Linked DNA regions of Mus musculus. The protein of the gene in region 2 interacts with the protein of the main gene of each other region in a pairwise test. Links are inferred from orthologs where the notes say so. Each region holds a gene or a part of one and is shown on either strand. Other genes may lie near its edges.

Region 1 (7,320 bases), on a different chromosome or scaffold from region 2:
TGCTTGAACTCCGCCACTGGGATCATCCTGCCTATGGGAGTCAGAAGACAAGAGGGGTTGAGACACCAAACAGTGAGAGCAAGGGTGTGCCTGGTGGAAACCCCGAGAGGCCAGACATAGCTCAGAAGCCTACGCACTCTCAGCCTGGCCAGAACTTTCTAGAATCTATGCATCGTTGTATGTTCCCTTCCCCTCTTAGCCGGGGTCTTGTTGCTTCCTTCGGAACTCACCTCTTTCCCAGTCTCACAGCGTTTCCCCTCCTCCAAAGCACAGGTTTATCTTTCACTGCCTGCCCTCTTCAGAACTCTGTGAGAGTAAAAAAACTACAGGGCAGCTGTCCTCCAGTCTCCTCCTTTGGCTGCCCACCTCTGAAGGAGGAAGCCTGTGACATTCGTTCTGGTACTCCTTTATTCTAGCTGGGTTCTCACCTCCACCTTGCCACCAGGGTATCCCCAGGCTCAAGACTTCCGGGGTGTGCCCCCCTACAGGGGTGCTCTGGGCACCACCTCCATTCTCTAACCGGAAAAGCCGGCTAGGGAGAAGCAAGCTGGAGCGTGGCTGTGCTCTAGTTAAGGGCCTCAGGGGTTAGGGAGTGGCCAGGCTGAAGGCTACTGAGCCCTGGAGGCATGTGCCAAGACACCTGACTGTTCAGATAGGGACTAGAGCCTAGAATCTGAAGTGGAAATAAGAAATCTGCCCCCCACCCCCACCCCCGGGGAAGAGTTTTGGCATGTGTGGAAGCATGAGAATCACTAAACTGGAAAACTCTCAGGGTGACACCTATGACTGGAGCCTGGCACAGGGCTGCCAGCCCACTCTGTCTATCTCTGGTTTCCTTTTCTACTAAGGTATCATTATCACAAAGGCCAGACCCAAGTCACACGGGGGTGTAGAATGTGAGCTAAGACAGGACTCCCAGGAAGTCAGCTACTTGCTTAGGGCAGAGAAGGAAGCAAAGAGTGAAGGTCTCTTGGACAGCCCACCCCTGTCAGCATCCAAGCTTTGTGCGCGCACACACACACCAAGGTGTGGATATGGAAGAGTAGGGGGTTCTGTAGAAAAGGGAGCAGGCATTACGTCTTCCTATATAGAAAATATGACACTGAGGTCCCAAGTTCATCCTGAACCAGGTACATGTAAGGAGACGACCAGAGAACAAGGTCCTTTACATATGCTCACCAAACACTCTCTTAAAAGTCTCAGGCTGTGGAGTAGCTCAATTGGTAGGGCACTTTTCTGGCATGTACAATTCTCTGAATCCAGTCTCTAGCACCACATAACTAGGCATACTGACACATGCCTGCAAATCTTAGCACTTGGGGATTTCAGGTAGGAGGATCAGAGTTCAAAGTTATCCTCAGCTACATAGGAGACTCAAAGCCAGCCTGGGTTACATGAAACCACATTTCAAAAAGAAATTTTGTTGCCCTCCTTAAAGAGGGGCTGTAGCTTAGTACTAAGTGTTTGCAAGAGTGTCTCCAGAACTGGAGGGGAAAAAATCCCAATCTTCATAATCTGACAGAAATAACGAGGGGAGAGAGATGACTCAAGGGATGCTACACATGTAAAATCAAGGACCAGTTCCCTGTCTCCACCTTCCACGACCCACGTCACAGTGTCACAGTTCCCAACTCTGCCAGGCTACCCTCACAAGTCACAGGCCAGGAGACAGGAGCCCTCTGCTCAGCTCCCAGGAACAAGACACGATGTAGACACACAATCAGAGGGAAGCACAGGGGATTATCATTGTCTGGCCCCGTGACTCAAACAAGATCTTGCAGAACCTGCCATTAAATTCCAGCAGGCAGATGGAAGGCTGGCCCCCTTCCCTGTGTCTGGACAGAGATAGTGGAAAGGTCACAGAACTGGGGGAAGTGTAGAGAAAAATCACAATGGATTTTATATGAAAGAATTTCTCTTGTTGTTCTTCATGCTGATTTTTGTTTTTTTATTTTTAAGGTTTTTTTTATTTTTTTTTTTAATTTTTTTTTTATTTTTTTTTTTTTTTTTGGTTTTTCGAGACAGGGTTTCTCTGTACAGCCTTGGCTGTCCTGGAGCTCACTTTGTAGACCAGGCTGGCCTCGAACTCAGAAATCCGCCTGCCTCTGCCTCCCGAGTGCTGGGATTAAAGGCGTGCGCCACCACGCCCGGCTTAAGGTTTTTTTTAAAGTGTGTGTGTGTGTGTATGTGTGTTTGTGTGTGCTTATGTGTCCAGTGGTTGATGCCAGATGTCTTCTACCATTCATGACATCAGTTATCTTTGTTATCAAACTCAGGAGCTCATGCTTGCTAAGCTACCTCTCCCATCCTCCATCTTTTCTTTTTTTCTTTTTTTTCTTTGAGACAAGGCCTCTCCTTGAAATCTGAGGGTGAGCATTTTCACTGGACTGGCTGGTCATTCTGGAATCCACTAAGGTTACCAAAGTGTGTCACAGTGCCCTGCTTTTATGTGTGTAGAGAAAGAACCTTGGAGTTGGCTCAAGACACCCCAAGACCAAATCAGCACAAAGGAGATTTATTTGCTCCAGAGGGGCAGAGGGCATGGAATAAGAGATGAAGAGACAGAAGATGGAGGCCGAGGTAGAAGGCGAAAGGAACAGGCAGAGGGGAAAGGGATAATTTACCCTGGAGAACAAAAGACTTTCTCTGGATAGTAGGAGACAGAGTTGGCCCATAGGAAAGTGGACGTTTATAAAGGTAAAGGAGAAATCTGTGTTAGGATCAGGAGTTCAGTTTTGATTGGATATGTTAATTAGGTGAGCTAAGGGGGCTTCTGATTCCTGGACTTCAATACTTTGTTACCTGTATTTTGGCAGTCAGTCTCAGGAGAGGGAAGTAGCCAAATAAGGAAATAAACCTTAGGGGCTAGCTTCAGAAATGTAATCTAACAGTTTTTAGCAAAGCAGATGGAAATGGGGGTCGGGGGAGAACGGCAAGGCCTGCCACAGCCATGCTTGCCATGCTCAGGTTGGCTAGAGTTCCTTTAATGTGGGCATGAGATGCAAACTCAGGTGCGCCTGCCTTTGCAGCAAGCACTTTACCCACTGGTCCACCCTCCAGCCCTCTTGTATCCCTCAAGTTTTTTGAAACAAGGTCTTACTATGTAGCCTTGTCTAGGCTGGTGCTGGCTATGTAGAACAAGATGAACCGAAAATGTACTGGGATTACAGAGGTGTGCCACCATGTCTAGCCTAATGCTGAGTTTTATCCCAGTTTGGGAAGTATAAGTGTGAGGGTCTTTGTCCTTTCATCTTGGAGGATGAACATAACTCGCTGAGGATTTCACTGCTACAAGTATCACTTGAGCCTGCCCAGCCAAAGTCTACCTCCTGTTTGATGGCACCAACTCTGTTTCCACCCACTGAAAGCACCCCTCATTGAGATGCAGCCTCTATGTATGTAAGGAGTGCGCTTTGGGGAAATGGTTCAGTAAGTGAAATATCTGATGCACAAGCACGAGGATCCGAGTGATATTCCCAGCACCCACATAGAAGTGGGCAGGGTAGCCTAGATCTACCAACACCCCCTTCCTATCTTGCAAGCTCCTTCCCACAGCTAAGCCTTAGCACTGCTCCTGCTGATGCAATGGAGGCAGGGGATGTTCCCAACCTCAGCCTGTCTCCCCAGCTGTAGCTCATATGCTAAGGGCCGAGAAGAGACAGAAGAGTTTTCAACTTTTAGAATACAAAGTCAGAACTAGGAATGTGGCCTAGTTGATAGAGTGCTTATTCAGGCCCTGGGTTCAATTCCCAGCATCTCATAAAACCTGGAATGGTGGGTGCACATCTCTATCATACTCCTTAGGATAGAGGCAAGACGACCAACACATTGAGCTCACCCTAAGCTGTGTAGCAAGCAAGCTTGTTAGAAACAGGCCAGCATTATATGACCTTGTCTCCAACAAACCAACAACAACAACAGCAACACCCCAAAACACAGGGCTGCGGAGGTGGCTCATTGGACAAAGGCACCTGTTGCCAAGCTAGAAGACCTCAGTGCAATCTCAGGGACCCATAGGTGGAAGGAGAGAACCAATTACTACAAGTTGTCTCTGACCTCGATGAGAGTGCCGTGGCATGTATGCACACACACACTAACTAACTAACTAACTAGTAAAGAAAAAAATTAAGCTCTTGAAAAACTAATCCCTACACTTCTCACAAGGGGGATAAAGAGGTAAGGGAAAGACACCCCTAGAGGAAAGTCTTGGGGGCCTATAGACTCCTAGGCTAGCCCCTTCCCAAGCTTATTCTGCTGGGATTTGGAAGGGTTTTTTGTAGTCTTCAAATATAAGAACCTTGAAATGTAAGGGAGCAGGCTTGTGAGGGTGGGGTTCTGCAGCTTTTAGGGCGCTCATGAAGATGAGCTCTGTCTTTCTCAGCTACCTCCACCACCCCACGCTGGGACAGGCTGCCAAAGACTGTCAAAGTCGACTCCTGCCTGTTGATCTCTCTTCCTTCGCTTGATCCCGAACTGCCTGGATCCCAGGACACCAGCTCCCTGGGGCCAAGCTGGGGATTACCGCACCCCTCTCCCAGCCCGGGCTTTCAATGTGTGTGGGATTGCTCCGGCCAAGGCCACGGAACCACCCACACCTGAGCGACTCCCTCCACTCCTCCGGGCCATTCCCTGGGTCCAGGTTGATCTACACGGTGGGACGAAAGCCTCCCAAGCCCCCGCTACTTACTCACTGCTCAGGGATGGAACTCCGGGGCCCAACTTCTAGATGCCTGGGAGTAGATCGACCCGGACTCCCGCAGAGTTCCCGGGCGGGCCAGAGAGGGTGAGTCAGGGCGGGCTGGGCCAGGAGCCGCCCCGCCCCGCCCCCGGGATTGTTCGGCCCCGCCTCACTACAGACGCTATCAGGTCGACCCCACTCCACGCCACGCGATCGCTAACAAGGAGAGATATTCCTGAGACAAGGGTCTGTAGAAGTCTGCAGTCCCTCTACCTCCTGGCTGTGGGGGCAAACTGGTATCCTGTAGATGCTCCACCTGGACAGGTGTCAGCGAAGTGGTTCTGGGGAGAATTTCCTTCAACCCCTAAGCATCCCCAGCTGGCACTAAAGCTCAGTGGAGGCACAGGCACCACAGGCTTCCGGCCGGCAGGGGAAGACCAAGAGCAGAGGACTATCCCTCTTCCAGAGCTGGCCTGCCATCAGGAGCTGTGCCCAGCCACAGGAAGCTAACCCAAGGTCTTGACTGTCTCTGCTGAAGCTTGTGGCCCATCCTGAATTTTGGAGGGCTGGAGTAGGAACTAACTCTTTTCCTCAACCTGGACTGTTCCAGGTAGTAGAGTTGGGCATGCAGGCGAGGGGGTAGGGGAGCCTGGAACTACTTCTTACTTCCCCACCCCTTCTCTTCAAACTAGTTTCAAATTCTCCAGGTAGACAAGGATGACCTTGAATTTCTGATCCCCCTGCCTCCAGCATCAGAGTCCCTACCACCTGAGAGGATTACAAGAGGGTTTGCAGGCTGAGGGATTACAGGCTAGGGCCACCATGTGTAGTTTATTTAGTGGTGGGGATGGAATCTAGGGCTGTGTGTATGCTAGGCAAGCCTAAATCTTCAGCTTCTGAAAGGTTCATTAAAAACCAAACCGACAAAACAAAAACTCATCCTATCCCACCACTACCACCACCACTCCCCAGGCCTCACAAGAAACTATCAACTCCCCATCATAGACCACCAAACCAAGAATACTGCCTATTTCCATCTGAAGGCAGGCAAATTTGAGCCTTCATCTATTCTATTCTTAGTGTGAAAATACTTTCTTAATGGGAAACCTATTTAGATTAATGAGGAAAGTGAGCATGCCCCACCCCCACCCCTCTGCAGGAGCATGCACACAGAAAAGAATTTGGAAGCTGGAGAGTTAAGAGTATACATTGCTCTTACAGAGGACCTGAGTTCAGGTCCTAACACCCATATCTGGTGATTCACAATTACCCACAATCGTAGAGGATTTGATGCCGCCTTCTGGCTTCTGTGTGCTCCTGTTCTCTTTTACACATACGTAATTAAAAATGAAAGAAATCTCTCTTTTTTTTTAGAGAAAAATCTAGCACTTGGAAGAAGACACAGGTCTACATTGCTGTTGGGCACCCACTGGAGAAGACTACAGAAGCTAAAAAGCAAAGTTAGCACACTTAGAGACTTTCCCAGAACTATGAACTTTGATAGATTAGATTTTGTTTTTATTTTAGCTGGTGGGGCTGTCTACATGATGAATTTTATGGCTTGAATGGTACTTCCATCATGGAGTCAGTTGTGCTAGAGTCTGGGGATCTGTTACACAAATAGAGAGTTCCAGGTCAACCAGGTCAACATAGTGAGACCCTTTTTTTTTTTTTTTTTTTTTCATCCTCCAGAGACTGGAAGTGAGTCGGAATTCTCTAAGCCTGGAGTGACTCTTCAGGTAGCTGAAGAACAAACCTTTCTGTGTTTAGCAGTCTTTTCCCCTCCTCCTCTCCTTCATTTCTTCTGGCACTAGATAGCAAACCTAAAGTCTTTCTTAAACTAGGAAAGTTTACTACCACAGAGCTATGCCCTCTAGTAACCTGTTTTATTCATCTTTGTTTAAAACAGGGTGTCACCATATAAAGCCTAGGATGGCTTCAAACGTGTTTGTGTGTGTGTATGTGTGTGTGTCTCTGTGTGTGTCTGTGTGTGCTCTGTGTGTTTTGTTTCTGAGACAGAATCTTTCTATCTATGGAACATCTGCTGGCATTCATTTGCCTCAGCTTCCTTGGTCCTGGGATTGCAAGAACATGCTACTATTCTTGACTCTTCTCTTTTTTGAGACAGGGTATCACTACATAGCCCTGGATGGCCTGAAACTCTCCATGTGGCTAGTAGTGGGGATGGAATTCAGGCTAAAGCATAAGCTGGTCTCAAACTCTCTCTGTGTAGCCAAGAATGAGCATGAATTCGTGATCCCTTTGGCTTCAACTCTCCAGGGCTGTAAGTGTGTATGTGTGTGCATGTATGTATGTATGTATGTATGTATATATGTATGTATGTGTATGTGTCCCCACCCAGCATATTTGATGTGAGGATTAAATCCAGGGTTTGTGGCAGACAAGCACTCTTCAACTTACCTATGTCCCCTGCTCTTCCCTTTGATTTATAGATAGACATTAAGCATACAAACAAGACGGGAATGGTTGCATAGCTTGAAGTCCTAATATGAAAGAGGCTAAGGTGCATACATTTGAGGCTAGCCTGGGCAATGTACTAAGATTCTCAAAAAATATCAAACAACACTGCAAAGGCAGCTCACCTGACAAAGCGCCTCAGGCACGAAAGCCTGGGCTTGGAC
Region 2 (7,220 bases):
AGCACAGCAGTTGCTGCAGCACAAGACAAGGCTAACACACCGACCTAATTAAGGAAGGACAGAGAACCCGAGCCCCAGTCCATGAACCATCACTTGGCCAGACTTCTAGCTCCTGATAAACTGGATCCAGCACGTTTCTCAGCTGTCTGCTCTGACCTCGCCCCACCAAGCCTTAGAAGTGGCAGTCCTAAGAAAATAGGATGAGCAGGAAGCGCCAGCAACTCTTCTCGCTCTGCCCCTCCGTAAGCCATACCCACCACCCCTGACCGCAGCACGCTTTTGCTACGTATGGAAGTAAAGCAGTGCTCTAATAATCAAAAGAAAACTATTGGCATTCTCTGCTCTGGGAAAGAGCTTCTAAAATATAACTTTTCTTCTGGGAAAAAAACCTGCATTTTATAATATTGAGTGACTATTCAGAATCTGGGCCAGACAAAGAAGGAGAGAATGAACACAAAGAAAAATGATGCCAGCTAAACTTGAAATAGTGCCAAGCATCCTTTGGAAAGAAAAATCAATGGACTGTGCTCAGCCTTTTCTTGCAGATGTGCACAACCAACAAAAGCTTGTGATTGCAAAGTTGCAAGATGCAAAGTTAAAAAAAAAAAAAGAAAGAAAGAAAGAAAGAGAGAAAGAAGACTGTCTTTGCTGCTCTTAGCAAATACTTACACTCCTGCCCTCTTACAGTAACCTACAAAGGTAAAACAGCCCCCATCCAGAGGCTTGTGAAAGAAAACTGCAGCCATGGAAAAACTGCAGCTCACTGATCTTCAAACACTTGTGGGTTGTTTGTTTGTTTGTTTGTTTTTGGTAAATATTTTATTTTAAGATGTATTATTTCACTGAATACAAATATTTAAAAATCCATTGTCTGCAGTGTGAGCAGCCATCGGTAGAAACCATTTAAAGGCCGCACTTTCAACTGAACCTTCTCAGGACAACTGAGAAGTGTCTTCATTGCTTGCTTCATTGCCGCTTCTGCTCTGGCTCCACCCCCAGCACGCCTACTGCTCTGGCTCCACCCCTGGCACGCCCCCTGCTCTGGCCCCACCCCTCGTACGCCCCCTAAAGATGGCACGCACACTGGGGGACTGGGCACCTTCAACATGCTCAGACATCATGCAAATGTGAGCAGAAGAAGCACAAAGAAGGGAGTTCACATATTACCATCGAGTGTACCTGCAAACTGCCTGTCCCCGTTTCCTCGGCTACCAAACCTGGTGACTATTTTCCCGTTGGGCTGGAAGATAAACACACAGCACGCCTTGTTGTCCACCACAATAATGTGCCCATTGCGGTCCACAGAAACTCCTTTGGGCCCCATCAGTTTTCCTGATCCAATTTTTGTCTGTTAGAAGCAAGTACAGAAATATACATCAAAGTTCAAAGCATTCCAGAAACCAACCTGAAGCTAGTTAGTTGTCTTAGGAAAACATTGGCTGAAATGTTATCTCTGTCCCAGAAAAATGGCTCTACCATATTCAGCATCTGCTACAGACATTTATATAAAAGCTTTATTTTTAAGGCATTTGCCACCAAATTTGGACCACAGTGCCCTTCTAAACAGACACTTGATGAAAGAGTACAAGGTCTAGAGAGAGATCTTGCTCCTGCCTGTCACTTGCTTTGAGCACACCGGAAACTACATTTCATACTCAGCACTAAAATCCTGGGCAAACTGGAGTTCCGGGAAGAAACGCTAGACACCAGACTCTGTAGCCTAGGAAGTGGAGCGTCAGTGGTGGCAAAAGGAATGTTTACCTTTTATTTTATACTTTTCACGTATTTTTAAAGCCTATTTGTATGAGCTTTTAAATTAAAAACTAATCCCCACTAATTACGTTTCATACATTCTGCTATGAAGCCCTCTCCTACCATATTAGCACTGGCAGATAGAAATCTGTGAGCTACAGATATACATTTTAATTTTTTAGAGTTATTTATATTACTTTATGTGCATGAGTATTTTGCCTATGTGTATGTCTGGGTATCATGTGTGTGCTTGGTGAACTTAGAGGTCGGAAGAAGACATCGAATCCCCTGGAACTGGAATTACAGATGGTTGTGAGCTACAAACGTGGGTGCTGGCTTCTCTACAAAATCAACAAAAGCTTCATCCACTGGACAATCTCTCCAACCTCCCACATATGTACTCTTCATTTCCTAATGCAGATGGAGTTTCTCCAAGTAGAACTTCTTGTGTGACTCTTTATTCTTTTAAGTCTACAAATGACGGAGATTCAGGTGTGATTGCCTTCAAGCAGAGAGACACAATTACATAGAAAGGGAAACATCTTGTCTTAGGCCAGGGAATCTCTTGTGCAAGTTTGATTCTGATGCTGCAATGAAGCCCACGGATCAAAGAGGCTCTAACATAATGGCATGTAAGGAAATCGCTAACCTCTTTCAAGTCTAAAAGGAAGGTATCACGAGAGATCAAAAGGAGAGCTGGCGCTCCGCTCATTAACCGCCTAATACACTACTACTTAACGTTACAAACATCAGTAGTTACTCAGAATGACTCAACCATATGATACCAAGTGGATAATTATCTAGAATGAAAACAGAAGCCAAAGGATTATCTTAGTTCTACTACAGGATGCCCGGATGCCGGCTAGGGCAGATCTACAAGCACAACTTAAAGCTGAAAAACAATGTTGCTTTCTCCCTCCACTATTGTGTCCACTTCAGAAGCACTGAATTCTACAAAGTGAAATAAGAAGCCACACATTTGGCCTCACCGTGTTACCCCCACTATCTTAGACTAGTAAGAAACATATTTCAGATATGTTGGAGACAGTTAAACAAGAGCATTTAACTCAACAAACAGCTTTCATGCTGAAGAGGGAAACGTTGAGACATTTTAGAATAGTAGCCATAAAGGTCGCCATGTTTGTGTTTCATATGTATATGGTTTTTTTTTTTAATTTTAATGTTTTTCTGATTACAAAAGGTTCCCAGCTGGTCTGGAAGATATAAGCCATGAGGGAAGATGAAAGGGAAGACATAAAAGGAGGCAGGGGAGGATGACTACTCGACTACACACCAGATGTCTATAAAAAACGGTAGTAAAGATGCTACACATCTGAGATGGTCAGGAGCAAGTATAAAGACCATGTTGGATCTCCTATAAACTTCCATTGCTGCTCTAGCATCTCTCTTTCCAAGCTGATAGTGCTCCTGCGAACATGGTGAACGTGCCTAAGACCCGCCAGACATTCTGCAAGAAATGTGGGAAGCACCAATCCCACAAGGTGACACAGTATAAGAAGGGCAAGGACTCTTTGTATGCCCAGGGAAAGCGGCGCTATGACAGGAAACAGAGTGGCTATGGTGGGCAGACTAAGCCTATTTTCCGCAAAAAGGCTAAAACTACAAAGAAAATTGTGCTGAGACTAGAGAGCGTAGAGCCCAACTGCAGATCTAAGAGGATGCTGGCTAGGAAGAGATGCGAGCATTTTGAATTGGGAGGCGACAAGAAGAGAAAGGGCCAAGTGATCCAGTTCTAAGCCGATTTTGTTATGAAGACAATAAAATCTTGACCATTCAACCCCTTTGATTACAATTGTTCTTTTGGGAGGGAATAAATTAAAAGCTTTCAGAAATTATATATATATATAAAAAAAGACCATGTTGGGGTAAAAGAGAAGTCAGCTGCACTGTTGCGTTCACTGTCTCATTAAAAGAGCAAAGCAGCAATCTTCTGATACTCAATTGTAGCCTGCACACCTGGGTGAACTTTTTACAGTACTCGAGTGCTCTCATATGCTCTTTTTACCTTAATGGGGTCTAACCAACATCTATCCTAACGAGGTTCTTGCTGCAACAGGCAATATCCTTCTCCATCCTCTGGGGGGCAGGAGTGCTCCAAGGTCTTTGCACTCCACAGTGTCTACAGCACTTGTGACCAACAGAGCCCAACTTTAGGATTTCAGTTCTTCCAAGTATTTATTATGTGTATGGAACTATCAAGTCATGAGTGTAAAATATGTCATTCAGGGAGCCATTCTCTCTCTCAGCTAGCAAACTCTTGCTCAATATGCAAAAGCTGCTTGCTGTTGTATTTGCTCCCAAAGGTACAGATGGCTAATTTTTTTTTTTTTTTTTTTTTTTTGGCCAAAGTCTAAGACAAGCATAAGCAGGTTGTCTCCAAACTAGAGTTCTTCTAGAGGACAGCAAACAGTTTTTCTCCGTGTTCCTACCAGAGTTGTCACGGTTGGGTGTTGGAAGATACAGAACATGAGAGCTTCCTGTACCTGTGGCCGTTATATGGAGCTGTCAGGTTCTAGCGGAACAAAAAGATGCACTATCACACTGTTAAAGGAGACAGCCCTTTATTTTCTTAGATTGAAAAGGTACTGCCTCACATAAAGCAAGGGCTCTAATCTGAGAGTAAAAAAAAAAAAAAATGTAAAACCCATCTCATCTCATAAATGCCATCTTGTAAATACCATGAGGTAACCATGACAACCTAAAGCCTTCCAGTGCCTTCGATCAATGAGAAAGGTTCCAGAATGAATTAGGAAAACACACCCCAAACCCTCAGAGAAGGAAGTAATGTGGTGGCAACTAAACACCTTCATTCAGCCATGAAGCCCAAGTCTCAGCTGCTCACACAAACTTTATGTTATGCAAATGATCACAAGAGGCATGGAGAAAAACATTTCTTAGATGAGGCCCATGTAAAAATTCAGAAATAAATTTCATTTAATTTGTACTCAAATCCTGTGAGATAGATGTTTTTAAACACCGAATTTTAAATACTCAGAGAAATGATGGGATTTTCCCAAAGACCAAAAGTTAGTAAAGCCCAGAAGTAGGATTCCAGGAGTCGATCTGAGTTAACATTCATGTTGTCGAATAAATCAGAAGCCTTCGGTAGGCTGGGCGAAGAACAGCATGATCATAGTGCATGTGGTCTTCCAAAAGACCTTTGACCCAGTCAGTGCCTCATAGGCCTGTGAGTAACGGTGACTCTTTGGTAAGACCTGACAGGAGAATCCCCTGGGCTCCTCTCGTCCCTGATAACTTGGGAAGAAGCAGAAGCTGTCACGGTTGGATCTTGAATCTACACAAAGTCCCGGATGCCAAAGGCCTAGTCCTCACTGCCACTGGGAGGCCGTAGGGTCCCGCGGAAGAAAGGGAGGTCACAGGGGCACAGCCCTAAAGGAGGCTGTGGGACTCTCTTCACTTCCTGCTTGCTCTGCTTTCCTAAGCCATGGGCTCAGTGGTTCCCTCTACCCTGTGCTTCCCTTTGCCACAGAACCAAAGCACAAGGGCCAAGTGGCTGTGGACTGAAGCCTTCAACGTTGTCTCCTGACAGAATCCCGGAGTATAGGTGAACTGGCTTTGTCCCTATCTAACCGGCCTCCATTTTCTTTTCCTTCTTAGTTCTATGTGACATTCATTAATGTTGCCTTTCCAAGTTATAGCAAATAATTTACAACCAATTTAAAAGCTCTTGTGCCTCAGGCCTTTCCCTCAGTATGCCTGTGTATGCTTTAAATGTAGGAAATGTGCACTATAATGCTGTTTCTCCCAGGCTTTCCACCCCATCACAGGCTGAGCAAGTAACAAAACCTTGTGACAGTCTGCAAATTAACTTGGGAATAACAAATTGCCTCTTTATAACCCTTTGCAAGAGTTTTTTTTTTTTTTTTTTTTTTTTTTTTTTTTTTTTTTACTCAAATTAAGGCAATCAATATCGTTTCCTGATAAGCGAGATTTTTGAAGCAAACAAGCTTTATGAAATAAATGACACTTATATATGCATGTATGTGCATGCATGTATGTGTATATGTATATACATGTATGTGTGCATATGCATAGGTATGTTTACACATGTATATGTACCTATATGTGTCCATATGTGTATGAGAGAGAGAACAAGTTTATAAAATTATCACAGTTTAATAAAACTGAAATTGATGACCCTATATGAAGAATTATAAAATAATGGCTTAGATTTAAACCAAGAAAAATATAATTTAATGTCATATTTCTTGCTTTTTCTACTACTTGGTGGCCAAATTGTAGTCACTCTTACCTTAAACTTCCCATCATTGGAGAAAATGCTAACCCACTTGTTGTCATAATCTGCAATGATGATGTCCCCACTGGGGTGCACCGCTACCCCCGTGGGCCGCTGGAGCTGTCCGGGTGATCGTCCTCGGATGCCGAAACGACTTTTGAACTGTCCATCATTGGAAAAGATCTGTACAACAAATGTACATCCATTAGAACCTGAACTAACACAGAAATCACGGGGGGAGGAGAGGCATTTGTGAAATGCACTACAGATCAGAATCTGGCAATGCTGCTTAAGAAGTCTCCCCCAACACACACACAACCACACACACACACACACACACGACAGGAGTCTACATACTTATCTTGTTCCTTCCCCATACTATTTATCTTGAGTCTAAAGTAAAGAAACACACCCTATCTCCAGTCAATACAGTCAAAGGGACACATGTAGGGCTATACCTGCACACACTGGTTGTTACTATCTGCAATTAATATCTTTCCACTTGTAGATGCAGCCACACCCTGCAGGTTTGTAAATTCTCCTTTGTTTCTTCCTTTGGTACCTAAGAGTAAATGAGAAAAGCATAGAAATTAGGTTATAGAGAATAAGATTAGCAAAAGCATTATCCAAGCTTCTGTAAGTAGCATGAAAAAACACTGTCTTTTCTCTTTTCCATGGTAGGGATGGACGCATAGCTGTGTATATGCGCAGTAGGTGTTTACTGAGATACAGCAGTGCAGCCTCTGCATTGAGATGTATATGGGGGGGTTAGGGATATAGTGGCTTCCCTTATGACTTAATCCATGAACTACTGGCCTTCTCTTTCAGGCCAATAAAGTCTTTGCAAAAATCATTCTTAGGCAAATGTTATTTTTTTTCCCTAATCAATCTGTAGCTGCATATTAACACAGTTAAAATATATTCAGCTTTCACAAAGAAATAATTAAAATATTCCAACTTTTGAGCTACAAGAGAGGGGTGTGTTTAAAAGTTTTGGCAAAATCTCACTCTTACTCTGTAGCTCTCAAAGGAAGTCTGGGCATCCGACTTTCAGAGCACACAAGGCACCCTGATGTCATGAACCAAAGACATGGTTCTCCCATGCTGGATCCATGTCTGCATGCTTTTCTAAGGCTCTGGACTTCTATATTTCTGATATCTCACGTGTGTGTGTGTGTGTGTGTGTGTG

Evidence for each region.
Region 1: the proteins of Trim2 (region 2) and Lrrc8e interact in binary tests that used the Homo sapiens proteins (3 or more experiments, as listed by UniProt). The two-hybrid records come from large-scale screens. The link is inferred for Mus musculus from reciprocal best matches to the Homo sapiens genes TRIM2 and LRRC8E.

Annotation. Positions count from the first base shown.
Region 1 is NC_000074.6:4,224,373-4,231,692, reverse strand, and holds the start of Lrrc8e (volume-regulated anion channel subunit LRRC8E), read right to left. Parts: upstream 4,867-7,320; 5' UTR 4,688-4,866; intron 687-4,687; exon of another isoform or gene 231-686; intron 32-230; 5' UTR 27-31; coding exon 1-26. UniProt on the Homo sapiens protein: Non-essential component of the volume-regulated anion channel (VRAC, also named VSOAC channel), an anion channel required to maintain a constant cell volume in response to extracellular or intracellular osmotic changes.
Region 2 is NC_000069.6:84,171,586-84,178,805, forward strand, and holds part of Trim2 (tripartite motif-containing protein 2), read right to left. Parts: intron 6,594-7,220; coding exon 6,490-6,593; intron 6,215-6,489; coding exon 6,047-6,214; intron 3,609-6,046; exon of another isoform or gene 3,053-3,608; intron 1,349-3,052; coding exon 1,180-1,348; coding exon of another isoform or gene 1,168-1,179; intron 1-1,167. UniProt on the Homo sapiens protein: UBE2D1-dependent E3 ubiquitin-protein ligase that mediates the ubiquitination of NEFL and of phosphorylated BCL2L11. Plays a neuroprotective function. May play a role in neuronal rapid ischemic tolerance.